4 linked regions of the Lonchura striata genome follow. The protein of the gene in region 2 interacts with the protein of the main gene of each other region in a pairwise test. Links are inferred from orthologs where the notes say so. Each region holds a gene or a part of one and is shown on either strand. Other genes may lie near its edges.

Region 1 (7,803 bases), on a different chromosome or scaffold from region 2:
CAGAGCTCTAGAGATGAGGGTCACTTGCCCTCCAAGCAGTGCCCTGCCCAAAGCAGTTCATCTACAGCCCCTCTAGCAGCATCCCAGTGCTCCCACAGCAGCTGATGAGCAGGAATTTCAGTCAATGGTCTGGACCAGTTTCTACGCTACTGCAGGGAGTGCACAGTGCAGAGGCAAATCAAGTGATTCCATTTACTTTTTCTGTGTTTATCTGGTCAACTGCAGCCTCCAAGTGTTCAGCATGAGGTCTAGAAGCAGCCTTGCACCTCACTTCATGTACTCAGTTACTTTGGAGGCCTTGAATTGGTCAGTTCTGTTAGTGTTGCCTAACTGCTAGTCATGAGTACCTGAAGTTTAGAAAGAGCAATTCCTTTTGTGCTTGGGCCTCTTAAAAAAGAATGAATAAAGACAATTGTCCTTTGGCACCAGCTCAGGTGATTTAATCAGGAACTGACATCCAGCACAGCCTGGCAGTGGCGGCAGGAAGGTGTGCCCAGAGAGGCAGGTGTGAGCAGTGAGGCAACACCTCAGCATTTCTCAACCCATAATTAATGCTGCAGTCAGATCATAACTATGCAGGAACAACTGCTGGAACCAGCCTGTTAAATATTCCCTATCAAGTCTCAAAAGACTTCATTAATTCCCACAGAAATGCTGTTTTCCTGCTACTGGAGACCCAAACAAGAGGAATTGCTCCTAAGGCAGCACCTCTAACTTCAGGCAGCAGGGAGTTAAGCAAGCATATCTGGAGGCTGGTATGAAGGCAAAGTACAATAAAATGGCTTGGGCAAGTCAAAAACATCTCACAACCACCTGACTGCACCTGGGTTTCCATCTGCCCTCTGGTCGAGCAGCTCCCAGCTCCCTCCTCCCTTCTCCCCCTCCTCCTGGCCCAAAGGGGCCAATATCCCAAGCACGTGCAGGTAACAACACAGTATCACAGCAAAGTATCACAGCAGAGGAGTCAATTAGTTTCCTACCTCTCATTGTCTAATTCATCAGGTCTTGCCACTAAAATATTAAGAACAGACACTACATTAGTTTCAAGGAATTTGCCATGGGAATGTTTAGCTCTTGGGATTTAAGTAAAGCTTTAATGAGCTGGGGAACACCTGGAAAAGACATTAACTGTAATTACAGGATGGAGAGGCATCACTCCATAACAAATCTTGAGCGTGTACGTGTGACAGCACAGGACTGCAAGAGTCTCCCTGTTGCTCCTTGGTGTTTGTTGGACACTAGAGGCTGCCCACTTCCCTCTCCCCCACTCCCTGCACGCCCCAGCTGCAGAGGAGGCACAGCCTGCAGACTGTAGGCACCAGGGATTTAAATCCTTTGATACTTTCCCACCCAGGCTGGGACTTGAAAGGGATGTACCAGCCACCCTGAGAGATCAAATCAGAGGGATGAGGGAGCTGGACAGACGCTGTCTCCTAAGAAGGAGCCTGAGCCAAGCTTTGAAACTGAGAAAGCTTTAATGTCTTCCCAGGAACTACAGAGAACACGTATTGAAGCAGAAAGCTGGAAGCTGAACTTGCTGGTTAGTCAGGGAACCAGCCCTGGGAACATGCAGACCCTCACACTGCTCCAAACTAACCTGTCCATGCAAAGCCAAGGGACCCCGAGCTGCTTGGAATGGGGGTGTTCATCAGTGTATTAATGTCACAAAGGAGGGACACAACTGCTTTGGTTACTGCAAGCTGGAAACTAACTTCATTACAGCTGCTCAGATGCCTCTTCTCCCAAAGAAATCTCTGATCAACCGCAAGACTGAGACTTTGTCTTCATCCTAAACTGATTATGGATTCTGAGGGGGAATCCAGATGAGTTCCACATATGCTTCCATTTCTCACCCTGGTACTGAATGCTCAGAAAGTGAATCATGGTCTCATGCCTGCACTAGATCACGTACATCCTGTGGTTCAGGATTACAAGACAAATACCAGTGTCACAAGCACAAAAAGAACTTGTGTTTACACAGGTTAGAATACTCCATCTCCAGAAAGAGCATGCCTGCAGTACTCTTGCTGCCTTCTAGACTCTTAAAGCAAAAAGCTGAGGTTTTAACCATGTAACTGCAGGCAGTATAGAGCCTGTAGTTGTGGGGCTGGAAACTGGGCTTGATTTGCTGCTATGAGCTCAAAATGCAACTTACCACCAATTTCTGGCCAGATTTTGTGCTTCCACTGGTCTAGACACACTACTACTATGAGTGTTACAGCAATCAGGAACAGCAAACGAAGGGAAGTCAGAGCAAAGAACCTACAGGGAAGAAACCAATGAGTTGGTACTGGCCAGATCTTTATGAGACAAAAAGGGATAACACAAACCAACCTCAAACCACTCACTCAGGAGGAAAACTCAGCACCTGCTACTCAGTCAGCACGCAGCGTGCCCCGGGGGCAGCTGCCGGGTGACTCGTTTGCCCGTGTCGGTTCTCCCGGGCCAGCCCTGCTGCACAGCTCCTGTCCCAGGCAAGCCGCCCTCCCTCCAGCGCCACAGCAGGCTGAGCTCTCCCGGCTGGTCTGAAACGCTCTCGGGTACACGGAGAGGCCGGGGCTGCAGTGGACCCAGCGCTCCCGGGCCCCTCACGGTCCGCTCCTCCCGGGGACAGCTCCCCGAGCCCCGCCGGCTCAGCCCTGCCGGCCCGGTCCCGATCCCGGTCTCCATCCCGGTGCCGGTCCCTATCCCAGTCCCAGTCCCGGTGCTGGTCCCTATCCCAGTCCCTGTCCCTGTCCCTATCCCGGTCCCGGTCCCTGTCCCTATCCCGATCCCCATCCCGGTGCCGGTCCCGGTGCCAGCCCGCCGCTCACCAGAACAGGCCGTGCACCGCCACCCAGCACAGCGCGCTGCGGCCCGGCCGCTCCCACACCAGCGCGGCCTGTACGGCACCCAGCAGCGCCTCGTAGGGCCCGAGGCGGCCGCGCAGTGCCGCGCTCAGCGCCTGCACCCGCCGCTGCCGCTCCCCGGGCCCGGGCCCCGCCGCCGCCGCCATCGCTCCCTCACGGCGTCAACATCCGCCCGCCCGCCGCGCGCGCACGGCCGCCGCAACCATGGCGGCCCCCAGCAACACGCGGCGACTCCGCTCAGCGCGCCGCCATCTTGGCGCATGCGCGGCCTGCACCTCCTGGCGGGACGCGCCGCGGACAGAGGTGCGCGGCGCTGCCCCGGAAGTGCGCGGTGCGCGCGCGCACTGCCGTTGGCGCCGGCGGGAGACGCGGCGGTACCGGAGTCGGGCGGGGCGCGGAGCGGAGCGGAGCCTCGGCCGCGATGCCGCGGGAGATCATCACCCTGCAGCTGGGCCAGTGCGGCAACCAGAGTGAGCGCGGCACGGCCGCGGCGGGCCCGGGGGAGCGCGCGCCGGGCGGGGTCGGGATGCTGTGGGGGGGGCAGTTAGCGGGGCCTGGCGGGACGGGGCGGGGCTTGGGACGGGTGGGGTGGGGCCAGGCGGGATGGGGCGGGGCCTGCGGACCGGGGCGCTCCGGTCCCGGTCCCGGTCCCGGTCTCGGTCTCGGTCTCGGTCTCGGTCCCGGTCCCGGTCTCGGTCTCGGTCTCGGTCTCGGTCTCGGTCTGTCTAAGCGCTCCTCCCCGCAGTCGGGTTCGAGTTCTGGAAGCAGCTCTGCGCCGAGCACGGCATCAGCCCCGAGGGCATCGTGGAAGAGTTCGCCACCGAGGGCACCGACCGCAAGGACGTTTTCTTTTACCAGGTACGGGCGGCCGCGGAGCGGGCACCGAGTGCTGCCCTGCTCCCTGTGCCCCGGCAGTGCAGCCGGGCTGGCTGCGTCCCTGCCGCCACCGTGCGGGCGGGAGCGGCGGCTCGGCCCCGGTTCCCGCTCCGGGCTCCCGCCTGCGCTCCCGGTGTGTGAGCGGAGCCTGTGCGGGTGGAGCACAAGCACGAGGCTGTGGCTGCCATAGATAGTGGCTTATGTAAGCACCGGAGTTCCTCCCACTCCAGGCTGGCGGTGCTCTGGGCACAGAGACACACAGAGACGCTGCACTGAGCACAGGAGCAGCCTCTCTCTCCCTGCTCCCTCTGGCCAGGCCCGGCCATGTGGGGCTCACCTGCAGCCAGGGGTGGCTCACGCTCTGGCAGGGGAGGTGGCACCGAGCTGCAGCAGCATCGAGATCCTCTTGCTCCCGTTGTAGGCGGATGATGAGCACTACATCCCCCGGGCTGTGCTGCTGGACCTGGAGCCCCGTGTCATCCACTCCATCCTCAACTCCCCTTATGCCAACCTTTACAACCCAGAAAACATCTACCTGTCTGAGCATGGAGGGGGAGCTGGCAACAACTGGGCCAGTGGCTTCTCGCAGGTACCAGCCCTAGAGCTGCTGGGTGAGACTCTTCAGCCCTGGGGCTTTGTCCTGTGTCCATGTGCTGTGTGGCACCCTGGGCACAGCACCACACTGCCAGTCTGACTCGACTCACACTGAGCTTGAGCAGCTCTTCTCCATGTTCTGTGGGAAAGGAGCAAAACCAGTCCTGATCTCTCTTGCAGGGAGAAAAGATCCATGAAGATATTTTTGACATAATAGACAGAGAGGCTGATGGGAGTGACAGTTTGGAAGTAAGTAAACAAGGGATTTGGATCTGGTGGCCCTGCCTGGTGTTTTCCCAGCTAGGTTGCTCTTTGTAAGGTTGAGCTCAGCACTCTAGTGGGCACAGATTAGCTCAGTGAGATTCTGGGACTGAGCACAGAACGTGTAGAGAGGGGATCTAGGAACAGGGGGTCTGTCCATTCCCACTCCATCTGCCACCCTGCCCCAGGAGTTGTTCCACTGTTTGCTTGTGGGGCATTTTCTTTATGCTGTCCATGTGAACATGCACACCCTGTGTGCAGACAGGGCTGCCAGGTGTTCATGTCAGGCTGTGACATGGCAGCAGGGGAAGGGAGAACATCACTGAAACAATGGAGGACATTGAAGTGCCTGATGTGGGAGCTGAGCATGTGGGAGCTGCCCTGGAGTCAGGCAGTGGGAGCTTGGCCTCGGTCAGACTAGGAGGAGGGAGGGGTGTAAGGACCCAGGAAAGGGCTGAGGACATGCAGTTCCATTTCCTGGGATGGACTGGACCCTAGAGGTGACATTGGAGCTATTCCAGTTCTGTTCTGGGTGGGAATCCTGAGCGCTCCCGAGCAGTTGTTGCACTTTGCGGGGTGTGCAGAGATGCAGGTCCCACTGTGTGGGCAGGAGTGGCCTGAGGAGCTGTGGCTGCTGCTGGGGTCTGGAGGAGCTGGGGTCAGTCTGCTGCATCCATGCTCCCAGCTGCTGCACGGAGCTCTGGCCCTGTTGGCAGGTCTCTGCTGGAGGTAGCAGGGGTGACACATTGTCTGCCTGCTCTGGGGCTGAGCTTCACCTTCAGCACCTTCTGCTTCCTTGCAGGGCTTTGTGCTCTGCCACTCCATCGCTGGTGGAACAGGCTCTGGGCTGGGCTCCTACCTCCTGGAGAGGCTGAATGACAGGTGAGCCCAGCCCTGTCCCCTGCCCACAGCCCGTGCCTGGCCCAGCCTGGGCAGCCTGCCTGCAGCAGGAGCTGGAGAGCGCTGACTCAGAGCCACCACCCCCACCAAAACACTGCCTTGTGCAATCCCTGGCACGCTGCCTGCAGAAGGCTGGCTCCTGATACGCCTGGGGACTTCAGAGGCTTTGAAACTGGACTTGTTCTGTCCAAGCTCTGCCTTCCCTCAGCCTCCTTATCAGGCAGCTGCCTGCGGACACCCTGACGGTGCAGGGGAGGGTGGGAGGCTCTGACTGAAGGCTGTGAGCTGCCATCCTGGCCTGTTTCAGCTTGCATCCTCTTGAAAATACTTGTGAGCAGCTGCTTAATCAGCCTGTGGATGGCTCAGCCTCCCTGTAGCTCCTCTGGCAGCCGGCTGCTGTGCTGCTGGGGTAGGCATTGCTGGGACACATTCTCTCCCTCCCTGGGAGCCACTCTGGCTGCAGCTTTGGTGACTCACCCTGTCCTGAGCCCTGGAGACTGCTAAGGCAGCCTGTGGGAGGGGAGAGCATAGCTTGATGGTGTTAACCCTCAAGATGCTGCACTTCTCACTAGGTATCCCAAGAAACTGGTGGAGACCTACTCAGTGTTCCCAAACCAGGATGAGATGAGCGATGTTGTAGTCCAGCCGTACAACTCTCTGCTGACTCTGAAGAGGCTGACCCAGAATGCTGACTGTGTGGTAAGAGGCCTGTGGTGCAGCCAGCCCTGAGGAGACAGCCTTGTCCCCACAGCTCAGAACTGCAGCCCGTCCTGGGCCAGCACCGTGTGCCTGCGAGCCCGGGAGCAGCAATGAACAGACAGACAGATGGGCCAAGCAGATGTGGCTCCAGGGACCCTCACTGGTGCTAACCCCTGCAGAGCTGCCTGGCATATCTGCCTTGGGTCCAAGAGATGTTCCCAAGGCAGTGAGGACTGGCTGTGCTTCCTCTGTGCTGCAGCCCCTGCCTGAATGCAGCACCTGTGTCTTGTGCAGCACCCACGACATCCCCAGCCAGGCAGCGCCTTCAGCCTTTGCTCACGTCTAACCGAGACACTGCTCGTCCCTACAGCTGGTCCCTGCAGCTGGTCCCTGCACGTGGCAGTGCAGGAGCAGTTGCACTGGAGCTGCTGCAACTGGCAGTGCTGGCCCAGGGGTAGAGCTCTTTGGGAGAGCATGGGGAGCACAGCCAGGAGGGAGGGAAGAGGTTCCATTGAGGGTGTCAGTTACGTGCCACACATGAGTCAGCTGGTGGTTTCAAGTGTCTGCCACTTGTGCAGAGGGCTCCATCCAGGGCCTGTGCTGGACCACCTGGGACACACAGCCAGGACTGCCCTTCCTTGCTGCCTCAGGGGCCCTTCACAGAGCCAGGTTTGTCTTGCAGGTGGTTCTGGACAACACAGCCTTGAATCGGATCGCAACAGACCGGCTGCACATTCAGAACCCGTCATTCTCACAGATCAACCAGCTGGTGAGAAGGACTTTCCCTCAGGAGAAACCAGCATGGGGTTTCCCTGCTCTGTTCAGTTTAGTCTGAACCAGCTTCACGGGCTGGGCTCAGGGCTGGGCAGCCTGGAGCTGAGTGAAGGTCCTGTGCCCTTCCAGATGCCCCAGCTTCCCTTGGCATGTCAGCATGAGGCTCTGTGACCCTCTGCTGACCCTGTCCTCTCCCCTAGGTGTCCACCATCATGTCTGCCAGCACCACCACGCTCAGGTATCCCGGGTACATGAACAATGACCTGATCGGGCTGATCGCCTCGCTGATCCCCACGCCCCGGCTGCACTTCCTGATGACAGGCTACACACCACTCACCACGGACCAGTCGGTAAGGCAGCCCCGGGCTCTCCTTCCCACCCCCAAGGGCAGAGAGGCTGTCACACTCACCTTGCAGCATCTGTCAGCCCCGTCTCGCTGTGAGCTGTCACTGCACGTCCCAAACGCCAGGCCCACGTGCTCACACGTGACTGCTGCATGTGCAGTGAATCAGACATGAGCAGGCAGTTGTGCTTGTGCCAGGCTACCTGCTGCATGCATCAGGGTGGCTGTCGAGATCATCAGGGTCAGGACTGGCAAAAGCTACCCTTAGCAGTGATGAGAGCAAGGCCAGGAGAGTGGCCTTGCCAGTGCTGCCACCCCCATGAGCCATCAGCTTTAGCAGACACTAATGCTCATGGTCACTGGTGGTGGACTACAGGTGTCAGCCCATTCTTGAAGCTCAGTCTGTCTGAGAGTGAATTTGCCATCCCTCTACACTTCAAGTGCTGCTTCTTGCATTTTGCTGGTCCCTAACCAGTGCCCCCCAGCCCCTGGGGGGGCATTTCTGTT
Region 2 (8,009 bases):
CAATTCCTCTGGTCCACTGAGTTGGCATCTCTTTGTCCCATCTGGGGTACCAGAAACTGCCATCAAAATCTGGAAAATAGACTCTTTAACCAATTTGTTGAGGTAGAAAGTCAACATAGTTGTATTTGGTTTTAGGGTACATGTGAATAACTCCACAGAACATGCCAGTTATCAAAACCTTTAACTATTCATACATCTGAGCAAAGAAATTAGTGTTCATTGGCTTACAAGCTACATAGTTCTCTTCATTAAATAGTATTCTATCACCTATTGTTATTTATTTATTGCTTCTAATGCCAATTAATCCACATATTTAGTCTTTTTATTATTTATTTCTTTTTCCCAGGTAGAGAGAATCTCAGTAATTTTCTTTGTTAGTTTCTCCTTCATCTCCAATTTCTCTAAGTGTCTTTGGTTACAAATTCTGCATTCTTTGTGGCCAGGTCTCAACGAAAAATTTCTCTCTCTGGTCGAAGAGCACTGAAGCACATCAGTCCCTAAATTGGTAATTTGTTTTTCTAACACATGGGCATCACCCATAGCTTGCTTGTCATCTGTTACTCAATTCATGGATTAAATATTCTTAAAGCAATTTCCCTCCCGACACTGCTGCACAGGCTCCTTTTAAAAGAAGTATTAACTTGTTTGGTAACAGTGCCACCCTTAGGTTCCCCTAAAACACGCAGTCTTTGAGAAAAACTGGTTTTCAGAAACATCCCAGTGGCCCCACTGTTGCTCCTTTGTTTTCACAGGAACAATGATACCCCTCCCCAACGAGCCACTCCCAATCACTGGCTGGAACAAATGGATCTCAAACTCTGCTTTGCAAGTCTGGGCTGTTACTGCTGCTTTTGATCATGCAGCAATTGTGATTGTGTTCCTTAATCTCCTCATTACATCATTTGTATGCCTTTAAGCAACTTTAGCTGAAGCTGGGCCATACAAGAAGTATGGTAAGAAAGAGCAGCCTTTTTTTGAAAAAAAAAAAAAAAAAAAGAAAAAAAACAACTAAGAAATTGTAGAAAATAGAGCAGCGAGACAGCAGCCCAGCATGGACAACACAGAGTGCTTTCCTAGAGGAAAAGAAAACATTCAGACAATTAAACATTGTTTACTGGGAGTGAGTAACCCTGTGCCCTCATCCAAGACCAATGTGCCCATACTGGCTCTGAAGGTGCTACAGATCCAGTGCCAAGAGAAACTGGTGACCAGTCACGAGGGACACAGCAGAGACACCAGGCAAGGACTGTGCCACGGGTGGCAGCGAGCAGATCAGAAGCACGAGTGCCTTCAGGTGTGCCATCTGTGGTTTAATCACTGTTCAGACCACAAAGCACAAATTTCCTGACAAAAGACACTTTGATATGCGGAGTCCACACTTAAGATTAAAAAAAAAAAAAAAAAAAGTCTGTAGAGGCAGAAATGACCCAATAATGAATAATGGTAATAATGAAAGAAACATGCAAGGGAGTCCAGAGTTATAAGCAGGACTGTATAGTACGGCACAGGCTGCAAAGCCTGCCCCCAGGTTCTGTGCAAATATTTGTCTCCTGCTCCTATGCATGCAGCATTGGCAATGCTTGGGAAATCCCTCGTGTAATGTACCACATGACCTGCAGATACTGCAGTACAGAACGTGCTCACAGTGTTCTGACACTCTAGGTTAAGAAAAAATATATTGTTTTGACAGTCCTTGAAGGAGCACTTTGTGCTGGCAGTCCAGGGTAGGAAAATTAGCCAACACCATTTCCAGTTCCTCCCTCTGGCAAACGAATCCAGAACGTGGGGTTTGTCACATGCCCATGGGCTGACATTTTAACAACCCTAAGTCAGATGTTTAGATGTTTGTCACTGCTTCTGCATGTATCATCTTCCTGCCTGTTTTGCCAGTGACGTTGTTGTTATTATTGAAGCTGAAGGAGAGAGCTGGGAATTCGGTGCCTGACAAAGTGGGGAAGCAGGAGGAGTCTTGGGGCTGCACATCCAGAGCTGCACCATCAGGGCAGGGAGAAACTTCAGTTAGGGCATTTGCTGAGGAGAAGTCATTGAGCAATCTGCTCACAGGGCCATGTCTTTGCATCAGAACAGGAAAAAAAACCTGGCACTTTTCTCTGATTTGTCATGAGAAATTAAAACCAGGTGTTACCTTAGCTGCCTTGGGAGAAGTCCTGGGGATAAAAACAGCAATTCACATGATAAGAGGAGTTTGAGATCGGTCTGTTTAAATTTGCCAGAATATGTTGGTGGCTTAGGTGAAACAGACTAGAAAACTTCCTCTCTTTTGTGCTTGAGGAACATCACTGCAAACCTTCAGTACACCTCAGCAACTGCTGTGCTGCAGGCAGTCAGGAGGCAAGGAGGCCAAACACAGGCTTGACATAAAAGTTTAATGCCATGAAACCAGAATTTTCCTTGGGTCTAAACCCTGGGGCTCCTTCAATCTGAGATATTTGCTATGGAACTGCAAAAAATAATTCCTTCCTTCTGACTCATCCCTCTGAGCTCCTCTGACCTGGCAACCATGCGAGAACATTTACGTGTCCTAGGACAGACAGAAACGTGTTGACGGTGCTTCCTGTACAAACCTGGTGCACATGAACTAGAGAAAGCTGGGACACTGTGGCTGGTGACATTCCCACTGTGGGCTGCTTGATCCTTAGGAGATTTGGGCATGCACCTGCTGGAACTGGCCATTAGCAAGAAGTCACTCCACCCCATACTAAATAAAAGTATTTGTATTAAAAAAAAAGTAACTGTAATAAAAGCTTAGAAAGTAAAGGACCTGCCAGAGTTTTTGCAGACACACTTCAGCCATCCAAAAGTAGGTGTCATGATTCAGGTGAGAAGAATCACACCCCAGCACACCTTTTCCTACCCCTGTTCATCCTCAGTAAAGACACGGGGCTGAATTGGGAAATCTGTGTCTTTTTACCTCTGCCTTTGGTGTGGCCATGGAGAATCACCTCATGCATCTGGCTGTTCCACTCATAGTCTGCTATGGCTAAAACACCTGCACAGATAAAAGATCAGCCTTGGCAAAATTGTGTTTCCTCTAGGTAAAGCATGCAAAGAAAAAATAATTTAATACAATCCAACTCATTGAATTGTAGCAATTTATTTTTGTCCTGATTTGAGCATGCTGAGCCATTCATTAATACCTGCTCTTCTGCTGATCAGTGAATAATTGTGAGTTGATCTACTCCTAGGGGAAAAAAACCCAGATATTTTATGTGCCAGCTGAGTAACTGGGCCGAAGTTGGCTGGGTGTTTTGGCTTGTTGGCAGACCTTTAGCTGCCTGCTGTTTGCAACACGCATCTGGGGTGACCCATCATATGGCAACGCTTTCTGCCAGAGAGGTGCTACAAAAAAGGCAACAACCCAAACCCCAGCAGCCACGGGGCCAGTCCAAGTGAAACAGAGAATTTTGGAATTCACTTAAGTTAACAAAAGGAATTAAGCATTTCTATTTTAGCTTGTAAAATTATGTGTTGAATTTTAACTTTTTACTTAAGAAACCAAAGTACAAAAGGGCATAAGAAATGCAAATTACTGAACCTTCTTGCATAAGCAATAAAAAAAAGGGATCAAAAAGAAAAAGAAACCAGATAAAGAGGCTCCTCTATCTCCAGACTTATCTCTCAGACTGATACTTGTACTCAGATAAGCACCAAAAGACTGAAAATGCATGCGCAGAGAAGAAGAGTACTAAAGTTCAACCATGAGGATGACTATGATCTTCAGCCTCAAGAGACCACCAGGGACCCCCGTGCGACCACCACAGCAAACTACGTGTGCCCAGAAGGGTGTAGACTTATTTAGCATTAGGGACAAGGGCAGGCGGGGCCAGGAGTTAAATATGCATAGAAAAGTTGTGTAACGTATTGCATATGGAACACCTTTGGGAATAAAAGTTTGGGTCAGATTAAAACTCAGTGTGCAAGTCTTGGAGAAATATCTCACTTGTGCCAGGCGCTGACCGTACATACCCCCTTCATAACTACCCCAAGTTGTGGAGCCTATTTATTTATTCCTTCACAAGGATGAGCCATTATTTTTGTGTATGCAGCACAATTTTTTACATTTCGCACCACACCCATCGGGGCAAGTGGGGCCACCCAGGCCTCTCCTGGGGAGCCCCGAGCCTTGTGCCCCGCTGAGGCTGGTGCTGTTTTGACAGCCCTGAGTCACACTGCAGAGGGCATGTATGTATTAAAAAATAAAAATTGTGTTTAAATGCTTGTGTTATGTGTAGTAGATCTAATTTGCGCCATTTCTGGTATGATAAATGTGATATTGAATATTTGTTGGAGTATACATGTTTGTATTAGGAGTCCCCCCCAACCTCACAGGTGACACCTGGTGTATATTAGAGCCCGATTTGATGGGCCATGTCTGGAGAGATACGGGATGCCCAGAGATGGATATGATGGAAATCCTTGGGCAGATACATGTGAATGCAGGGTTCCCGTAAACTTCATCAAGGGATCCAACAACTCCAGACACTGAATTGTTCTTCCTCATCACCAAAAAAGAAAATTTTTTTAACCTATGGACTCTGAATAGAAGAAAAGACTGATTGCAAAAATCTTGACCTCAGGCGGAATTTTCCCTATAAAAACCACTCATGCCAGGATGGAGGCGTGTGGGCACAGAGGAAAACCTCTGCTGAGGCTGACTCCTTGTTGCACACCCAGGGCCAGCCCCGGGCTCGGCTCTGTTCTTTCCGTGTGGCTGGATAGATAGAATTGGATTGCAAAATAAATATTTTATTTTTTCATTTTAATCTGGCTGGACAAATTTTCGTGTATAACAGTTGTTTGTTTATGTGCTGCCGGGCAACACATCAGTGCACGAACACTGACGGAAGGTGCCCCCCCTTCCTTGCCGCCCACCTCTCCCTGCCCCGGCCAGCGCGGTGCCTCCCTGTGACGTCAGGGGGGCACCTCCGCGTGACGTCACCCCTCCCCGTGACGTAAGGGCGGGGCGGGGCCCGGGCGTGACGTCAGAGCGGCGCTGGCGGCGGGGCGGGAGCGGCCGCGGCTTTGTGCGCAGCGCCGGCCGGGCGGAGGCAGCCGCAGCAGCCGCCAGCGGAGGGACAGCCCGGCGCCATGAAGTTCCAGTACAAGGAAGACCACCCGTTCGAGTACAGGAAAAAAGAAGGGGAGAAGATCCGGAAGAAATACCCCGACAGAGTCCCCGTGAGTGCGCGCTGCCGGGCGGCCGCCTTTGCGCTCCGTGCTGGCCGCCGGCTGCTGCTCGCCTTGTTTTGGAAGGAAATGAGTTTAGTACGGATGGCCGTGATCTCGCTGCTCTGATTCGCATCCCCGGCTGCTTTTCTCCCTAGAGCGAAGCTGGGGCTATTCGCGATGCGCGGAGGGCTGCGGTGCGGGTGGGGGTGGAATACACCTTTTCCCCGGGATGCGCGGTGACTCCGCGGTGGGAACGCTGCTGATCTTTTTCTGGCATGCGTGGGGGTGAGTGGGCAAGGAGCTCACCCGTGTTTCTGTGAAAATGGAGATCAGTGAGGCGGTTAACCGGGTACTCTTCATGCTAAACACGGTCTGCATCCGGGTCATCTCGTACGTCCCTGTTATTTTTATTTTACTTCACTATGGCTTGTCTTTTCTATATAGCCTTGCTCTTTTCCTTTGCATGAGCAGAAAAAAATGATACTTCTGGGTCCTTTTACCCTCCTGTTTAATCATCCTGTGGAGAAAATGTCACTTGGAATGCAAGGTCATCTAGCTAAATTTTGCTTCCTCATTCTTAGGCCCCTTTGGAGTGCCTACGGGAAACTTCTGGCTTCATAATTCCGAATAATTATTGGGATGAAAGAAAAAAAAAAAAAAAAGACAAATATAATTAAGTGTAGAGTGTTTTTTCTTTTTTAATAAACATTTTGCAAGTATTCTTTTTTTCCTTCCCCACTGGAGAGGTCTGCCCTAGATAGACTGCACAACTGTACTGCATTCAAAAAAACTGGGTCCTTCCTGAAAAACTAATGACAAAGGGGGAACAGTTACACCCCATGTTTTCCCTGCAGGCTAACAACATTTTTTTATCTTGGGAGTGACCCTCAAATGGACTTGGAAACAAGTTTTTGGAAGTCAGTATTTGGGTGCCTTTGTTCTCTCTTTTTTGGCATAGGTTGAGCATGCTTGAGGTGTGTGGGGTTGGGTATTTAGGATGAGGGCTGTGTAGGTTGGGTGAGAGACAAGGTGTAAATTGAGGATTAACGTGGCAGATTGCACAGCAGGCCATGACAAATGTGTCGGGAAGAGCCCTGTGGGGAGCCCAGGACAAGGCCCAGTCTGGCAGGAGGTAAAGAAGGTCAAGACAGGGGCTCATCAGCAGAACTTTGTAAAGAAAACCAGGACCAGAATAACAAGGTGTGCTGGAGTTAATGATAATTGGAAATTATGCACAGCAAGGCCCAGATGTGAATTATTAGGGATGGCCTCTTGAATGCAGCACTCTGTTCTTCACATCACTTCTGTGTCTGCCCTTCCTGACAGCAGGATCCTTGAAGATGTCATCCTTTTGGCTGCCTACGCTGCAGTGCCGTGATACATCTCAGCATTTTGATGAGATTTCACTGCCCTGCGTTATCACAGTCGCCACTCAACAGCCAGGCAAATGTAGCTATCTGTATTCTACCCTTACGGTTTTCCTTTTAGTTGTTTTTTGGTTTTTGGTTTTGTTTTTTTTTTTATGTATGGGAAGGGTTTAGTGGCTCGGAAGAGATAAGCTGCATTATACAGCAAAACTGACTACAGTTGCCAGTCAGATGAGCAGAGCATCTCCATTCCTTCCGTGCATCTTTGCAGGAGGGAGATGTCCCTTAAGCTCTCCTAAATCAGTGGTAATCTGATTTAAATCTCTCCTAAATCTTTCCTAGGGGCTTAGAACCCCCAACAGTCACCTCAAAGGCATGACTTCTTTTCCTTTATTATCTAATGACCAATCTACAATCCCCCTCCTTCCCCCCCACCTCCAGTTAGGGAAGTCACAGCAAGCAGTTTGGCTTGTCAGTAGCTTTTTAAATTGGAGGCAAGAACTAAAGGTTTTTCCCCACTGCAGTTTATTGTGTTAGCTACTGCTTTGTTTGGCTGTGCTGGTAAAAAATGTGAGAAGTGTTGTGTGTTGCTGTTCAGTGAGGTTGTGGTAGTGTCCTTCTCTCACAGCATTTGCCAGCTGCATCTTGTACAGAAATCCATGTCCTACCTCAGACTCCCTGAAGGAGCTTGAATGCCTTGTGCTAACTTAGGTACTTGAAAATCTTGAAGTAGCTGAGGCAACCATGTTTCTATTTTAAAATCAAACCTGGAAACTTCAGCGGGTTTGGCTGTGCTGGCCACATCCAAATGGAGCACAGGGAAAAGATGTCCTAGTTGGTACCTCTCTGGTGTGAGATATTTTGCAGACACTCACTTGGCTTTAGAAAGATTCAGGTTAGCACAGCACCATGTCCAGGCTAAAATACGCCAAGCTCATGATAACATTTTGTTCTGGTGTGGTGTTTCACTAGTGGGTCAACATCATTTTGCTTCCAAAGAAGTCTTAGTCCACAGCAGTCCAACTTTTTCCCTTACACAACAGCTGTATTTGGGTTGCCAAAGAGCTATGGGAGCATGGAGCCCTTAGAAATCAGTCCCACAGTGTTTCCTGTGGAGTATTTACAGGGTCTAAGGAAATTAAAAAGTTTAGGAAGTTCAGAAAAATCCAGCTTTTGCTTTCATTTAGGTGGTCAGAATGGCTTCTGCAGAACAGCAAGCCATATAGATTGAAACATGATATATCTTTTACCAGTTCAAAAATACACATGAGGGAAAAAAAAGCCTGCAGGTTTTTTCTGCACAAACACAGTAGTTCCAAAGGTTTCAATGGAAAAGGAGATCAGGTCACTTTGGAATAATTCCTGCTTCGGAGGTAAATATTTTGCCTAGCTCTGCTAACAAAAAATATCTTTTAGCAAAAGACCTCTTGATTTGTTTGATCCTAAAGCTGC
Region 3 (7,990 bases), on a different chromosome or scaffold from region 2:
TACTAGTCAGCTGGTGCAGTCACAATTCTTACTCAGAGAGCTAAATTCACCCATCTTCCATCACAATACTTGTCTTTAAGCCATTAATTATGTACAAATGAAGGTCCCAAAAACAGGAGGTAGAGGAGGTGGGACGGGCAAGGTTTAGGGGCTGTATGAAAAATTCACTTTTCTCTTCTTTCAGATACATCATTTTTCACTCTTTTAGCAGGCACTAGAATAAGTCAACAAACCATTCTAAGTATGAAACAAAGAAGATTAAGATTTAGGTATCATTGGCATATAATCAACAGAGTTCTTACCCTTCCTGGAAATGAATCATCCTCCTTTTCTTGTTAAAAAGGTAAAGATTCTGCAGGATCTTGAGCTCTTTGGGGAAAAGTCGGTATTTTTTCCACACAATCCACTGGGATCATCCTAAAAAGAAACGACCAGGCTAATCTTAAAGTGGATTTTATTTATTCCCATAAATTTTTGAATCTCATTATCATCTCCTGTCTCAGAACCAAAGTTGGAGGGAAGTTCAGGTTTTGTTAGCTGATCCCCTTTCCCTCTCTGGAACTGTGTAACCACTTACCAGCAGAGCTGTGCTTCCACATGTTGGGAAGTCAACTTGCTGTGAAAGATGGTTGAATGTTAATGCCCACAGAAGTAGTTGTAAATAATAGAGAGATGTAATTGTTTTGTTCTGTCATTGCTTGGTTTGTGTGATTTTTTTTTTTTTTTTTTTTTTTTTTTTTTTTTGTTAAAAAATCTGTCTCAGGTGAGGTGGCCTGTAGATCAGATATATGTATCTTTATATAGATATCTGAAGAATACCACAATTTTCTCTTTAAAGAGAAGTCTTAAAAGTTGTTCTGTAGCTCAAATTTATGGGCTTTAATCATCCTTCTGTTTCCTCTGGAGTCAGAGCTTTAGCCTGTTACATAAAAGTGAGAAGTTATAAAACTTCCAGCTGAGGATCTTGATGAAATGAAATGCAGGGAAGATGGCAAAGTGGTGACCTGTTTTGACAATTCTGCCTCTGCTCCAGGGACCTGGCATGAGTGCCATGGCCAGCTGTGGACAGAAGGGCTGCTGGGGGGAGGCAGGGTGACAGCAGAACAAGGCAGATGATCTCCTGCTGGGGTTTTCTGAACTCCTTAAACCCAGCCACTGAGCTCTGCTCTGTCAATTAGCTCTTCTATGTGTAACTCCCCTTGTTTTTAAAGTCCTAGAGTCAGAAACCTTTCAACACCTGCTCCAGTCCCTCCCTGCAGCTGGCGGTTTGAGCATGGCTGGTCTCTCCATGACCACCCAGGGACTTTTCTGTGGAAGGAGGACTTGCCTTGGGACAGAAGCTATCCCAGTGCTCAGCACTTTATTGGGCTGGTGTCTGAAGGTCACAGTGGAGGTCTGTACCAGTAATTTATTTCTATATGTAACATGAACTTCTGTTATTGACAAGTAAAAGCAAAGCACAAATTTCATGATGAATGTTTAGTCTGCTGTGAGCAAAAAATGTGTACAAAAGCTGTTTGAGTAGCATTGCATATACTTTCTCATCTCTCTTTTGCCTGTTCCCCTCTCTTGCAGGTCTTTTGAAGACCATAGAACACACCATCTCCCAGAAGCTGTGTTCACACAGAGAGCTAACATTTGTGGATGCAGAGAGACAAGAGAACTTTGTTTCCTTGGCAACTGGAGCCACCAGAAAGTGTTTCCAGCATCTCCTACCTTTACACAGGCTCACTAGCATTGTAACCTTTGGTTAATCGTGTAGTAAAAACAAATATTAGCTGAAGAAGCATCTTGATAGTGTGCTCCACTTAACTCATGTGTTCTCTTCTCCAGCCTCTAAAATAGCAGATGATCTCTGGAAATGATCTGTTCCAAAGTGTCCAGCATTACAGTTCATGGCTGAACCTTGAGGTCTGCCCTACCTGTGCATTTGACTGAAACCCATAAAGTGTCATGGTTTTCTAGAAAACAATGTCAGGAACTTAACAGCTTTCACTCAAAGCCTGAGTGTGCTGAGGTGATGGAGCTGGGTCTGTGCTGCAGCACACTGAGCAGATGGCACAGTGCTGCATAGAGTCATGCCTGTGATTCAAGGTGGTTCATTCTTACCTCTGAGTCAGGGCTGAATTAATGTCCCACCACATCTTTAAGGTTTTAAAACACTGTGCTGATGGGGGCAGCCTTTTAGCTTTTGGTAAGAAAAAAGACAGTGCTGAAGCTCTTCCTACTTGCTATTGTTAAATATCACATATTTCCCTCCCCCCAGGTTTCTTATTCATTCAAATAATTTCACTAGGATGGTAAAAGAATACAAAATTCCCAGTTTATGTTTTCCCTTCCACTTACATTAAGCAATATTGTGTAGCTGATTTTTGATTGAGGTAGAGAGCCTGGAGAAAGTAAAAATTTGTGTAAATGCACATGTTGTAGTTCCTAGGTATCAGGCAACTGAATGTGATATTTTTTTCACTTTGAGAGCTGGAATTTATAACTTAAATAATTTTCTATAATTATGGATTTTGATATATAGCTTTATATTCTTAATTTAAAAAGTCCAAGTGGTTTCTGTTGTGTTTCCCAAAGTCCAGTAAGGTGAACACTATCGGGTCTAAAGTATTACAGCAAAAAGTTGGGGAGCATGCAAGCCACGTGTTTGTGAGAACATTACTGGAGGAAAATGGCAGCTGAGCAGTGAGACAATGGGTTTTTTTATGCTGTCTTTCTTCTCTAAATATTTCCTTACTTTCCTTTGAAAGGAGGGCCTTTTGTCTGATGTAAGCCCTTAGAGGGAACAGGGGTTTCTGGCATTGGTGTGTGGGCAGTCTGGGTTAGGTCACCCTGCCTTTCTCTGCCCAGGACTCCGGGAGACTCTGCCCTTTTCCACAGGACTGCTGGGAAGGGTGCAGAGGCACTGTGCAGGCAGGTGTTGAAGGAGAGGAGGATGCACACTTGTTCCCCCTCTGCCTTTAATTTTCCTTTCTATATCGTGGCGGTTGTTCCTGGTACCTGCAGCGACACCAGTTGTTGCTGATAATCCTGATATTCAGGTTTTCATTTGCAAAGCCAACGCAAGAAAGGAAAATATTATTTTTTAACAGTGCATATGATTTTGATTTGACTTTCAGAAGACAACCCAACAACTTAGCTAAGTACTTTCTTTCTACTGTTTCACAAGGTCCTACAGCAACCAGGAGCCAAAACTGGGTCTCCAACATGGAACACACATAAACAAAAAGCATACAGCAAGTTAAACATTGCCTCTGTCTCAACCTGTGATTTGTAGTGTTGTGGTCAAACTCCACCTCCTTCCAGTCCCATGTAGTTACATGGCAAACTCCATGAAGGGCCAGTGACTATAACTGTAAGCACATCTTTTTTTGGTGCTAACTCTAAGATCCATGGAGAGTTTCAGCACAGAATTTACTTAGAGAATGAGCAGATTACTGTCCAATCATTGGTGCTTCAAAAAGCTGAGAGTTTGCTATTTATCTTACTTTTTTGTATTATCTGTGCTGTAGATTTACTCAGAGCAATAATAAGTTTCCTTCCCCATATAGAAGTTTTGGATCCACCTGTAGCAATTGCAGAGTGACAAAATGATTGCTCATAAGAGCTAAATTATCAATGTGTGCTGAAACATTGCTATTTTAAATCTGTCCTGTATATTTTAATTGCAGAATGTGGAAAATTCTGGGGAAGATGCTAATAAGAAGTTGAAAATCGACAGTAAAATTATTTATGAGATGACACAGCAACAGTAGCTTCCTTCAGTACATGGGCAGGAGACCATGGATTGCAGAGGATAAAGCCAGAATTGGAGTACATTTTATGTTAGCATCTACTTCATCTTCAAAAAAATGATTACTTCTTAGATTTGTGTCCCTGTTGCAGGGACATTTCTGTCACGCATTAGTTATTTTGCATTTTTATTCATTGCCATTAAAAGTGAAACTTTTAGACAGCTCTATACACATGATCATGAGAAGTTACTGAAGTTCTAGAGAAAACAGTGACCAGAGTCAAAGCCATTATCACATTTGAACAAGCCTTTTCCTCTAAGAGAGGGGGGGTTCTGTACCTTTTAAGCCTCCTACATGATTTCTCACTCAGCTGACATAATTTAGTCTCTTGATTATAGGTTTAGAAAGAAAATTGGTTTAGAATAGAAAACTCAATCTATCACAGACACTCAACAAGAAGGAGTGTGAAGTAAAGTTTCAAGACTGAAAAGCTTGAAGGAAACCCACAGCTTCTGTCTTTCTCCAGAGACTGGTTTTTCTGCTGCACACTTTGAGATGCAGCCAGTCTGGCTGTTCCCAGCCTCTTCCAAAGAACTAGAAATAACTCAGGGTCTTGCTTCTTCTCTTCCAATTTGCCATTTATAGAGAGTTCTGGTGGGGATTTCAAGGTCTGTGTGTAAGTTAAAGAACACACATATTGGTGCCTTGACAGCTCCTGCTTGAGAGAGTATATTAGGGATAAGCTCTGAGGGATGTGATTTCTGTACACACCGCTTCCCCATTTCTGGCTGCAGCTGGGAGAATGAAGTGCTACAGGGAATTCTGGGCTTCTCACATGGTCTGGGACAGATTGAAAAAATCTGTACAGTAATTAGGGTGCCCCTCTTTTCTTTGGTAGCCAGCTTCTGACTTCGGAGTTGCAGGTGCAAAGGAACAGGGGCACAGCTACCCAGTGAGAAATATTTTGGACACACAGTTGTGGAGTCAAGGTATGAAAGAGCTGATGGACCAGGCAAGATATCTAAACTTAAAATTCCTCTTTTATTCAGTGTCTACTAGTCTGAAATTCTGTGGGATTCAATAAAGCAAAGCAGATTATTTCTTGAGGCCTGGGAGTGTAGGAGAATTGAGGAAAGAAAACTTGGAGAAGTGTATTAAAATAAGCATTCGTTCATAACAGAACTTATTTCTTGCTTTTTAAAAAATTTATCTGCATCTCAGTGTTTAGAAAGAAGTCATGTGAGCGTCTGAGCTGCGGGGACAGAGACAGTGGAGAACGTGTGCATCAGTGCAGAGTGCTGCCGGAGCCCTGGCAGAGCGAGAGGGAGGCAGAGGGAGCCTGAGAGAGAAAAGGCGAAGTGGTGGGAGCTGGAACAGCAGCAGCTGCCGCTGCACGGTGCGGCTCCAGCCTGGAGCCGGCTCTGCTGCCAGCACGCCTCTCTGAGGGCGCAGCTGCCTCACACTCAAAGTCCTAGGTGGTCAGTGGCACTCCCAGGAGCCAAGCGCAGCGGCTTTATTCTTTTCCTTTCCCGCAAAAGAGCACCTGTTTGAGGACTCCGCTTCTTTTCCTGGACTGAAAGGTATTTTTTGTCATTAATGTGTCTTTTCTATGAAAGCAGGTATGGGATCAGGGAAAAATAACTCAGGGCAGGATGATAAAGCAGATGCACAGAGGTTGTGGTTTCTCTGTCTCCTTCCCCTTTATAGCAGAGCTTAGGCAATGAGGAGCCCTTGTTAGGATAGAGTTTGACTTAAAATATGGAAGATGGGAAAGACAGGGTTAAAGTGTGGGAGTGGATCTGAGCTGTTCCCATCTGGTTTGTTTCTCTATGCAACCTTTGAAAGTAGAGGAAAACTTTCCTTGTGCACTTGGAGAAGCAGCATTACATAGCAAGATGTAAAACTTGAAATCATTTAATATGAATGTGATTTATTTAAAACTCTGCTTGGCAAATTACAGTCCCCATCATAGCAGAGCTCCCCTTAACACATAAAAGTTTCAGAGGTCTTAATGTTCTGTGTCTGTAAAAATACTTTCTTTCTCTCTCTTCCCTCTTTCCAGCATACTTGCCTCCTGCTGTGTGCACCCCTCCTGGTCTCCCTCCCTCCCTCCTGGGGACTGTACCCCTATGGATGCCCCCATACAGATTTTCCGTGAGGAGCCAGACTCCACCTGCTCCCCAGGGCCCTGCCGGCCGCCCAGCACCAGCAGCAGCTGGCTCCCGGGCTGGGCAGACTATGACAGCAATGCCACTGGGGTCTTTGGGGATGGCCAGCACAACCACACCAGCATCTCCCCCGCCATTCCCATCATCATCACTGCTGTCTACTCGGTGGTCTTCGTTGTCGGCTTGGTGGGAAACTCCCTGGTCATGTTTGTCATCATAAGGTAAGAGGTTTTGGGTACCGGTTGGAAGAGGTGCAAAAGACTGTCCCTAAGTTTGGTGGGGTGGGGGAGGGGGTGGATTATGCTTCCATACCCCTACCGTGAGGAGCTGGAAAAAAGCAACTGAAATGACCCAAAGTTTGTCAGTCACAGTGGTTTTCCTGCAGCTGTGTTAGAGACAGAAGGGACAAGCTGGTTAAATGTGATAAATCCTGCAGCCTGAGAGAAAGCGCTTGTGCCTGGAGCTGTGTTCATTGGCTGCCCTCTAGGGATGAGACGCTGCTGGCATCCGAGGGAAAACAGCTCGAGTGAAAGAAGGAAACTTCTACAAGGCAGCTTTTATTTCTATTGTAAGGAGACCCCGAGGGACAGAGATGTGTCATGTGGACACTGATACATCTCTGCCTGGGCACCTAATGTTTTCTTTAACAAGAGAGGAGGGAAAGCCAGGAAATTATAAAGAACAGCTTAATGTAAAGCAAGGGATGCTTTTTCTCTGTTTAGCAGTGTTTAACTCCAGTTGTTGGTGTTGAATTGAAAAAAAGTTAAGAAAGTGCTGAAATATCTTTTCCACTGTTTTTCAGGAAAGAGGAGAAAGCTCTGTGTCTGTGTTAGTGAAGGTTTCAAACTAAACCACTTGGTGAAATGCACTGATACTTATGCTTGCACTTACACTTGTGTATTGGTGAATATTTTAGTTTGCATTGTGCTTCCTCTCTCTCTTTGTTATTTTCATCTGCAATCTGTAAGCATGCTTGGACAGTGCTGTTTAGCAGGGTAATAATGAACAATCCAGGGCACTGAAATCATGCAACTTTTTGGACTATTTCTCCACAGCCTATTTGAATTCTGATAAAGTTTCTGGGAAAACAAAAATCCCAGAACTATGGAGTATTCATTGCTCCAATGAAATCAGCTTGCACGTGGAAAAGAATGGAGGTATTGGAAGGAATTCTCTTTTGTAAGGGATGCATCATAAGGGTCAAGCAATTGCAGAATGATGAAGTAACTGTCAGACTTGTTACGAGGGGAAATTATGAGAACTACTGAAGCTGTTGATGAGGTATTTCAAAAATTTGAGTTATAATCAGGTGAATACTCTTGAATAATGAAAGTAAAATTACTATTCAGTGCAATAAAAAAGAGATGACTGTAGTCAGTTTAGAAAAAGTGGTTGGCTCCAGTTTTGTAATGTTGTGATTTTTATACCCCTACATGCCCTTTTGTCCTTCATTCAGGGTAGAGATTTAATTTCTTTTTGTATTTCTCTTTCAAAAAAAGAGACTACATACTTGACAGTCACACAGCTGCAAAGGCAGAGATTTTCTAAGCCATCAATCAGTAACAAAGACAGCTGATTAACTGGCCTGGGCAGTGGAAATAAATCCAAACTTAGCCCTAGAAGTTAGCATGTATGGATTATACTGGTGCATATATATTTGCTTTTTTCTCTCCTTCTGCTACCCTCCTAAGACTATTTTTGTAAGCCTTTAGATAGCTATTGCTCACTTTCCTTCTAGTTCCTACATTAGCCTTTCCTTGAATTTTCTCTTGGCCCATCTCTTGATTACATGGTAAAAAAATAAATAAATATGACAAATCACCCATTGGTATTTTATTTTTTTTCCTTTTATTTCTCTCCTAGGTTTTCTGTGTGGCAAATGCTTTAAACACTGATAGAATCATTAGCTGAAGTGCAGACATGCACAAGCCAACAGTTTTAAATTTTCTTATGGTCTTGAAATATTTCAAATGTTTGTGCAAGAGATTTATTTTCTTCATTCTTTCCAAACCTTTCATGTCCCTTAACTTTTTCTTCACATATACTCTCTGCATGATTGTGTCTCAGGACACAATGCATGAA
Region 4 (6,870 bases), on a different chromosome or scaffold from region 2:
AAGAGTGAACCTTGAAACTGGGCCTGCATTCTGCAAGCAGTCCAGTGCACTTCATCAAATACATGTATTTAAAGACTCAGGGAAAAACAGGATAACAACCAGTAATAGAACAGGTTTAAACACTCAGATTTCACTTAATACACCACAAGTAGCAAACTGGATACAATTATCTAAGTAACTAAGCAAACTGCATTCTACGAAGAGAAACACAGTGTAGCTTAGAATCATCTGGAGAAAGACAATCGGTAGCCACAAAACACAGACAAAACCTCACACAAAAATCACAATGGCTAAGAGAAAAAACAAAGACTCTATAAGAAAATAAAAATTGGCTTTAAATGGTTAAAACATTTTTGGTCCTGTTTCTTGAAAGAAATAATTCTAAACTGAGATCTGAAGTAGAAGGAATACCACACTTATACACATCACACTGTAAACTGAAAGAAAACTGCAAGATATTGAAAAATACTTTAAAATCAGTGAACTATTTAATTAACAGGAAGTACAAAGACTTGTTTTGGCAATGCACTTGAAGGACAGCTTCAATAACAACATTTCATTACCATGCTGACACCATACATGATATCCTAGATGAGCTATCAAAATATGAAGTTTGCAATCCTAAGTAGAAGTGCAACAGGAGAGAGACTCAAGTGGGAAGCCCCCTCTAGCCTTCCACCATTCTTTTAAGGATGGCTCCCAGGCCACCCTTTGCCACTTTCAGAGGGGTCAGCTCTTCTTTATTCTCAATGTGAATACTTGCACCATGAGACACCAGCAGCTTTGCCTCCTCCACTCTCTCTTCATCGCAGGCTAAATGACTGCAGGGAGAACAAGAAACCCACAGGCACCGTTAAACTGTCCAAGCTTTTAAAGAGCAATAATTACACCATGTCAAAATGACAGTGTGAATGTTGGGGGGAGATACATCTGAGAACAACAAATCCACAAGCAGCCAACTACCTAGACAGATTCCAAAGCTTGCTGTCCAGTCCCTCTGTCATCATTAAGCAACTCAAGAACATTCCTCCTGCTGCTCTCCTTGCAATGTTAAGACAGGTCTTTGGGTTAGGATTTGGCTATGCAGTCAGCAAAGCTAAAGAGAACATAATCCATGGTGAGAATGGAAAATGGCAATCTCTATTAAATTGAAGGTGAGAAATAAATTGTCTGATGCTACGAAATAATGAGTTACTGCAAATGCAGCAAATGCTTTTTTCCATTTGGCACAGTGTCCTAGGAAGAACTGTGTGCATTCCAGGGCCATACTGGGGTTTATGTACAGCTAAAACTTACTGCTTGATCTTATTCACAGCAAAATCTGGATTCCACTGTGGTTGTGACACCAACTTCAAAATATCTGTAACCCTTACAGATTCAAATTGATCTCTAAGGTAACAATAAACACTGGGCTGATTGTACTTCAATTGCAACTTATTTTCCTTAGAGAGGTGAAGAAAAGCTTCTGAAATGAGTTCTTGCTTGGCAGGACAGATTAGACCAGCCTGCAAGAGCAGTTTCCTCTGGCTCTGATGTCATTAGCTCACTTTCTACCCTGTAGCAGCAACAAATGTATTCCAGATTAATAAAAAATGTGTTCTACATTCTTTAAGTGGATGCAGTAACACAAAGTATGCATGTACTGACCACTATGGCAAAATACTAAGTATGACTTTCTCAAATACTCCTCAATTGCATAGGGATGCTAAGCAAGAGTGTATTTTGCAGCAACAAAAAAAATATAAAAAGACATTGAAGTAATGGAGTTGCATTTCACAGAGATTATGCTATATTGAGCAAAATAAAAATAAAAAACTACTTACAGAGGAGTATTCCCTTCAGAGTCCCGTATATCCAGAGTGGCATTGTGCTGCACAAGGATCTGGACCATTTTTAGGTTTCCTTTGGCTGCCGCTCTGTGTAACGGGGTGGATTCAAAATGATCTGTTGCATCTGGATTTGCTCCATTCTCCAAAAGCATGACTGCAATCTGAGTATGTTGAAAGAGAAAGGAGCAGGGGAGGAGGTTGTGGGCTTAACAGACCTAAATCCTTCTTCCAAGAACACCACCAGCTCCAGTAGCTTAGGTAAACATACCTCCTGCTTATTTTTGGAGGCTGCATAATGCAGGGGGGTGCAGCCATTCTGATTGACAGCATTTACATGAGCACCCTTAGCAATGAGGGCTTTCACAATTTCATCACGGCCTGCTGAAGCAGCAATGTGCAGGGGAGTCCAACCAGCCTACAGAGGCAAGAAGAAATCCATTAAATTATTCAAACCATGAGTTTCATGCAGGAAAACATGATAATGCATAACCCAGACAAACCTGAACTACACACTCTTACTCTTACAAGTGTAAAGCTAAAGTATTACTGATTTTCACTAGACACAAGGCTCATGTCTTCTTACATGCCTGCACGCAGTACCTGGAAAAGCTGTCAGTTAAACGACAGAAATCACCTCTGCTATGCAGTTCTGCATGGTGTTTTGCAGAACTTTGTCTCTGCAGAATTTACACTAGTGCCTTTTTAAGGACAAACAGCAGTAGTAGAAAAGGGTGTTAAAAAGTTTCTGCAACTTTTTCTATAACTTATTCTCTACACTCATGAGACATTTCCTTCTCTATGGATGACATTTGAGATGCTTTGTACTGGATACAAATATTTCAACTCTTCCTCTAGAACAGGAGCAGGCTGTGAAATCACTGAACCTGCACTGGCTTTATTAATACTTTCCCTAGTTTGAGAAACCTTCAGGGTGCCTCATGATTTGGCAAAACACATCTGAGAGATCACAGAGAGATAAGGTAATGTGAAAACGCCCCTGGTTTTTACACCTTCCTTCATAAGCACAGCTCTCCTATAATTCCGGGACAACGAGCAGGTCTCAAATCCCCTCTTCATGCCTTTTTGCAAAAGCGGAATACTTCACTCTGCCTTCCCAGAGCAGCCTGGATCTGCACAAGTGCCAGACGCGGCGCTGGGCCCACGGGAGAAGGGGCAGGAGGGCGAGAAGGGAGCGGCGTGAGCGGCCCCGGGAGCGGTGTGAGCGGCCCCGGGAGCGGCCCCGGGAGCGGCCCCGGGAGCGGCCCCGGGAGCGGCCCCGGGAGCGGCCCCGGGAGCGGCCCCGGGAGCGGCCCCGGGAGCGGCCCCGGGAGCGGCGTGAGCGGCCCCGGGAGCGGCCCCGGGAGCGGCCCCGGGAGCGGCGTGAGCGGCCCCGGGAGCGGCCCCGGGAGCGGCCCCCGCCGCTCTCGGGGCCCCTCCGCGCTGGAACCAGACTGCAGCGGGCCGGCAGCACCTGGGCACGGCGGCAGCCTCGGCCGCAGCGGGGAACCCGCGGCACTCACATCGTCCTTGTCGTTCACAGGCACGCCGAGCCCGAGCAGGAGGTCCGCGACGTCCGTGTGTCCCGCCGAGCAGGCCCAGTGCAGCGCCGTGCGGTGATCCTGCGGGAGGGAAGCGGTGAGCGGGGCAAGGACGGGCAGCGGCCCGCAGGAGCCGGCAGGAGCCGGCAGGAGCCGCCCGGGGCCGCCGCCGGCTGACCTGGTCGGAGCGCGTGGCCTGGGCCCTGTCGCGGAGCAGCAGCGCCCGCAGCTCCTCCAGGCGCCCCGCGAACGCCAGGTTACACACGGCCACGTCCGACACCGCGCCCTCCATGCTGCCACCCGCCCGCGGGGCGCGACCCCCACCGCCAGCCGCCAATCAGAAGAGCGCCGGCGCCCCGTCCAGCCAATCGCGCCTGCCCGCCTGCTCCGCTCGCCGCTCGGGCCGCGGGGGCTGCTGGGGTTTGTAGTGCTGCGGAATGGGGGCGGTGCGCTCCCGGCCGGCGGCGGGACTGCAGCTCCCAGGGCGCCCCGCGGCGCGGCCGTGTTGTGCCTCCGTGTCGGGGCGAAGGGGAGGAGGATGGTGACAGCGGGAGGATGGAGGCCGGTGAGGGGCGCGGGCACGGCGGGCGGGGCGGCGTGAGGGGCCAGGCCGGGGCTCCGGGCATGCAGCGGGGCCGCCGGCGGCGGGAGACGCCCGCGGGCTGAGGGACGGGGGCCGGCGCGGCGGGCGGCGCGGTCCGCCCTGAGGGGTCGCCCGGCGCTCGGGGTCCCGCGGCCTCTCCCGGGCCGGGCTGGGGGCTCGGCCGGGGCCGGGCGTGAGGGGCTCGGCCGGAGCCGGGGCTGCCTGGCCCGCAGCTCGGGGGGAGCGCCGGGAGGGGAAAGGAGACCCCGGCGAGGAAAGGAGCCCTGGCCGTACCTGCACGAGCGGTCGGAGGGGGCTGCGAAGGCGGCAGGTGCCTCCGGTTGGATTTCGAGGGTCGAGAGTGTCTTAAGTCTTTGGAGTAAAAAACAGACAGTTTGCTCTCGGAGTGCAGTGAGCGACGGCATTTCTGTGGGAGGGTGCAGAGCACGGTGCGAGAAGTTGTTTTGCTGAGCTGCCCGCCCTAAGGAGCCTGTCCTGGTGTTTAAGCACTGCCTGCGGGGACGCGGGACGTCGGGGCTCGGCAGTGGCCTCATGCTCCAGCCAGAGGGTGGTGCAGCTCCCTTTTGATTGTTGGAATGTATATTTTTAAAAAATTGAATATTACTTAATATATATGATTTTACATTAATTTTTTATACTTGAAGGGTTGTTGCGCTCTTCCAAAAAGCACAATTTTAATGATCTAGAAAATTGTTAGACTGTGTTCTTTTGGTAGTATTAATTATAATTTATTTTTCACTAAACAGATGTGGTGTTGAATAATAACATTAATACATCTGTTTTTTTTCTGAAGTGTTTCAAATCTCCAGTTAGGAAAGTAAAGCCCAGCCTTGCTAACACTTCTCACATGCTTTCCATTAAGCATGAGGTCATAATCACTTTGATTTGTATTTTTTCTACGTTTCAGATCAAGCTGTGGTGCCTGATTTTTTTTTTTCCTTTTATCATTATCTTGAATCAAATCTCATCCTCACTGCAGTCATCCTGAACTTCTGTCACTGGTTTCAGTGAGACTGCTTCTAAAGGTGTTATTCCTGGTGTTCTCTCACTGAGGAACTAAATAAAAACCAAGGCATTGGCTATTTCAGTGTCAGAACAGCTTTTAAGGGAGACAATTAAAAGCAGCTGGCAGCACCGCTCAGAAGCCCCAAAGACTGCAAAGACTTACTACAAACTAGCTCAGTTTGAGAGCTCCAAGTTGTGCATAAAAGAACAAGGGGATAAAATGAAGTTTGAATTTTGTGTATTCCTGTTCAGTTTTATCTAGGTATGAAAACCAGATCACTATTTTGTCAGACTACTTAGAAGAATTTCCAGAAACCGACGAGCCGGTGTGGATTTTAGGAAGGCAACACCACCTAAACACAGGTATCTTTAGAATTAAATTATCTGTAACATCTGTAGACTATTTGTAGATTCACATGCAGCAACAGCTCCTGATTTCCTTATGTTCCCTGAATGTCTCATGAGGGCAGTTTGTTCTTCATCAGTGAGACACCAGGTGTAAGCAGGGGAATTCCTCCTGTACAGAAACCAGAGCCAAGGCCAGTGTGCTTCCACTGTAATTCCTGCAATATGATCACATTCATAGCAGAGTCTGTCAGACGTGAGCCTTGTCACTTCCCAACATCAGGGCCCCAGAAATGAATATATAACTTTTGGGAAATGTTCAGCATTACTGATGTCATTTTCCTATGAGGGATGCTGTCCACAGCCTGTTATTTGCAACTAGAATTATATTTCAAGTAACAATAATAAGTTAGTCTATGACACATACTGCATTTTAGCGAAAATAAATACATTACCTGAGAGTTAGAGCAGAGGAATGTGTTTATATAAAAATAAGACTTCAGAAATGAGTTTTGCTCCCTGGGGAGAAGACAGGGCCATCCTCCTGTGTTACATGTCAAAGGCAGTGGCCACCAGTGCAGGCACGGTGTTCAGGACAGCTGGGGATGCTGCATGGATCCTTGATCAGCTGGAGAATCCTTTGGAAAAGCCAGCCAGTCTGAGCCACAGCTAAGGGGAAATGCAGCAGATAGGGTTCTTAAGCATTCTTCAGAGCCTTTGGAGAATCTGTAAATGCATGTGTTTAAACAAACAAGAAAAACAAGAGGCTTCAATTTGACATTATTACCATTTTCTTAAAATTACTTTCTGTTGGGTTAGGAGGTAATGTATAATTCCATGTTGATTTGCACGTAGAACTTCTTAACCTGCTTTACCAGTTCTTTCCTGAGGACATAGTTCTCCAGAGTTGCTTTATTCAGGCTGGGCATAGTCATTCCAAACACCTTATAAAATTTCATTGGCTAATAATTATTTCATCTGTAATAAGTTAACTTTAATTAGCAGTCTGCAAAAGCTCTCTGTGTTTAAACTGCTAAAAAATGTTTTAAGTATTAAGGGTCTTTTATGTAAAAGCTATAGGAGCCTTCCTTGTACTCTGCGTATTGACTGTACAGGGATAATTTGAATTTTTCAGTTTTAATTCTGTTTTAATAATTTATTTCCTCTTAAAATTATTCCAGACAAATCTAAGTTATTGCTGGATATAAGTGCTCGTCTCTGGTTCACGTATAGAAGAAAGTTTTCACCTATTGGTGAGTATGCAGCATTCCAGCTGCCTGGTTACGGATTAGCAGGATTAGTGATGATGCTGGGGACTGAAAAGTTATTTTTACAGTACTAGAACGTATTGCTCATAATCTTAACTGTGTATGCAAACAGAAGATTAAAGCTATTAAAAGCAGTATTTGCTTGTACCTGTATATAATCAGGTCTTCATGTTTGTGGGGCAAGCAGTGAAGTGACAGCAGCCCTGTGGGGGGAAAGGGGCTGGCTCAGTGCCGTGAAGCTGGGGACAGCTTAGTATCATATCCATGGTCTGGGATTAAGC

The links.
Region 1: the proteins of GABARAPL1 (region 2) and RETREG3 interact in binary tests that used the Homo sapiens proteins (3 or more experiments, as listed by UniProt). The link is inferred for Lonchura striata from reciprocal best matches to the Homo sapiens genes GABARAPL1 and RETREG3.
Region 3: the proteins of GABARAPL1 (region 2) and OPRK1 interact in binary tests that used the Homo sapiens proteins (3 or more experiments, as listed by UniProt). The link is inferred for Lonchura striata from reciprocal best matches to the Homo sapiens genes GABARAPL1 and OPRK1.
Region 4: the proteins of GABARAPL1 (region 2) and ATG4A interact in binary tests that used the Homo sapiens proteins (3 or more experiments, as listed by UniProt). The two-hybrid records come from large-scale screens. The link is inferred for Lonchura striata from reciprocal best matches to the Homo sapiens genes GABARAPL1 and ATG4A.

What each region holds. Positions count from the first base shown.
Region 1 is NC_134627.1:6,273,370-6,281,172, reverse strand, and holds the start of RETREG3 (reticulophagy regulator 3), read right to left. Parts: upstream 3,010-7,803; 5' UTR 2,996-3,009; coding exon 2,814-2,995; intron 2,263-2,813; coding exon 2,156-2,262; intron 1,012-2,155; coding exon 981-1,011; intron 1-980. Other genes in the region: TUBG1 (tubulin gamma-1 chain), read left to right, coding at 3,271-3,319, 3,595-3,707, 4,147-4,314, 4,500-4,568, 5,383-5,462, 6,053-6,179, 6,862-6,948, 7,154-7,303. UniProt on the Homo sapiens protein: Endoplasmic reticulum (ER)-anchored autophagy regulator which exists in an inactive state under basal conditions but is activated following cellular stress.
Region 2 is NC_134607.1:2,234,473-2,242,481, forward strand, and holds the start of GABARAPL1 (gamma-aminobutyric acid receptor-associated protein-like 1), read left to right. Parts: upstream 1-5,007; 5' UTR 5,008-5,109; coding exon 5,110-5,199; intron 5,200-8,009. UniProt on the Homo sapiens protein: Ubiquitin-like modifier that increases cell-surface expression of kappa-type opioid receptor through facilitating anterograde intracellular trafficking of the receptor. Involved in formation of autophagosomal vacuoles.
Region 3 is NC_134603.1:40,045,972-40,053,961, forward strand, and holds the start of OPRK1 (kappa-type opioid receptor), read left to right. Parts: upstream 1-4,987; 5' UTR 4,988-5,320; intron 5,321-5,802; 5' UTR 5,803-5,869; coding exon 5,870-6,129; intron 6,130-7,990. UniProt on the Homo sapiens protein: G-protein coupled opioid receptor that functions as a receptor for endogenous alpha-neoendorphins and dynorphins, but has low affinity for beta-endorphins.
Region 4 is NC_134616.1:11,351,147-11,358,016, forward strand, and holds the start of ATG4A (cysteine protease ATG4A), read left to right. Parts: upstream 1-3,861; 5' UTR 3,862-3,922; coding exon 3,923-3,932; intron 3,933-5,228; coding exon 5,229-5,339; intron 5,340-6,502; coding exon 6,503-6,574; intron 6,575-6,870. Other genes in the region: PSMD10 (26S proteasome non-ATPase regulatory subunit 10), read right to left, coding at 668-821, 964-1,041, 1,824-1,990, 2,098-2,244, 3,350-3,448, 3,546-3,659. UniProt on the Homo sapiens protein: Cysteine protease that plays a key role in autophagy by mediating both proteolytic activation and delipidation of ATG8 family proteins.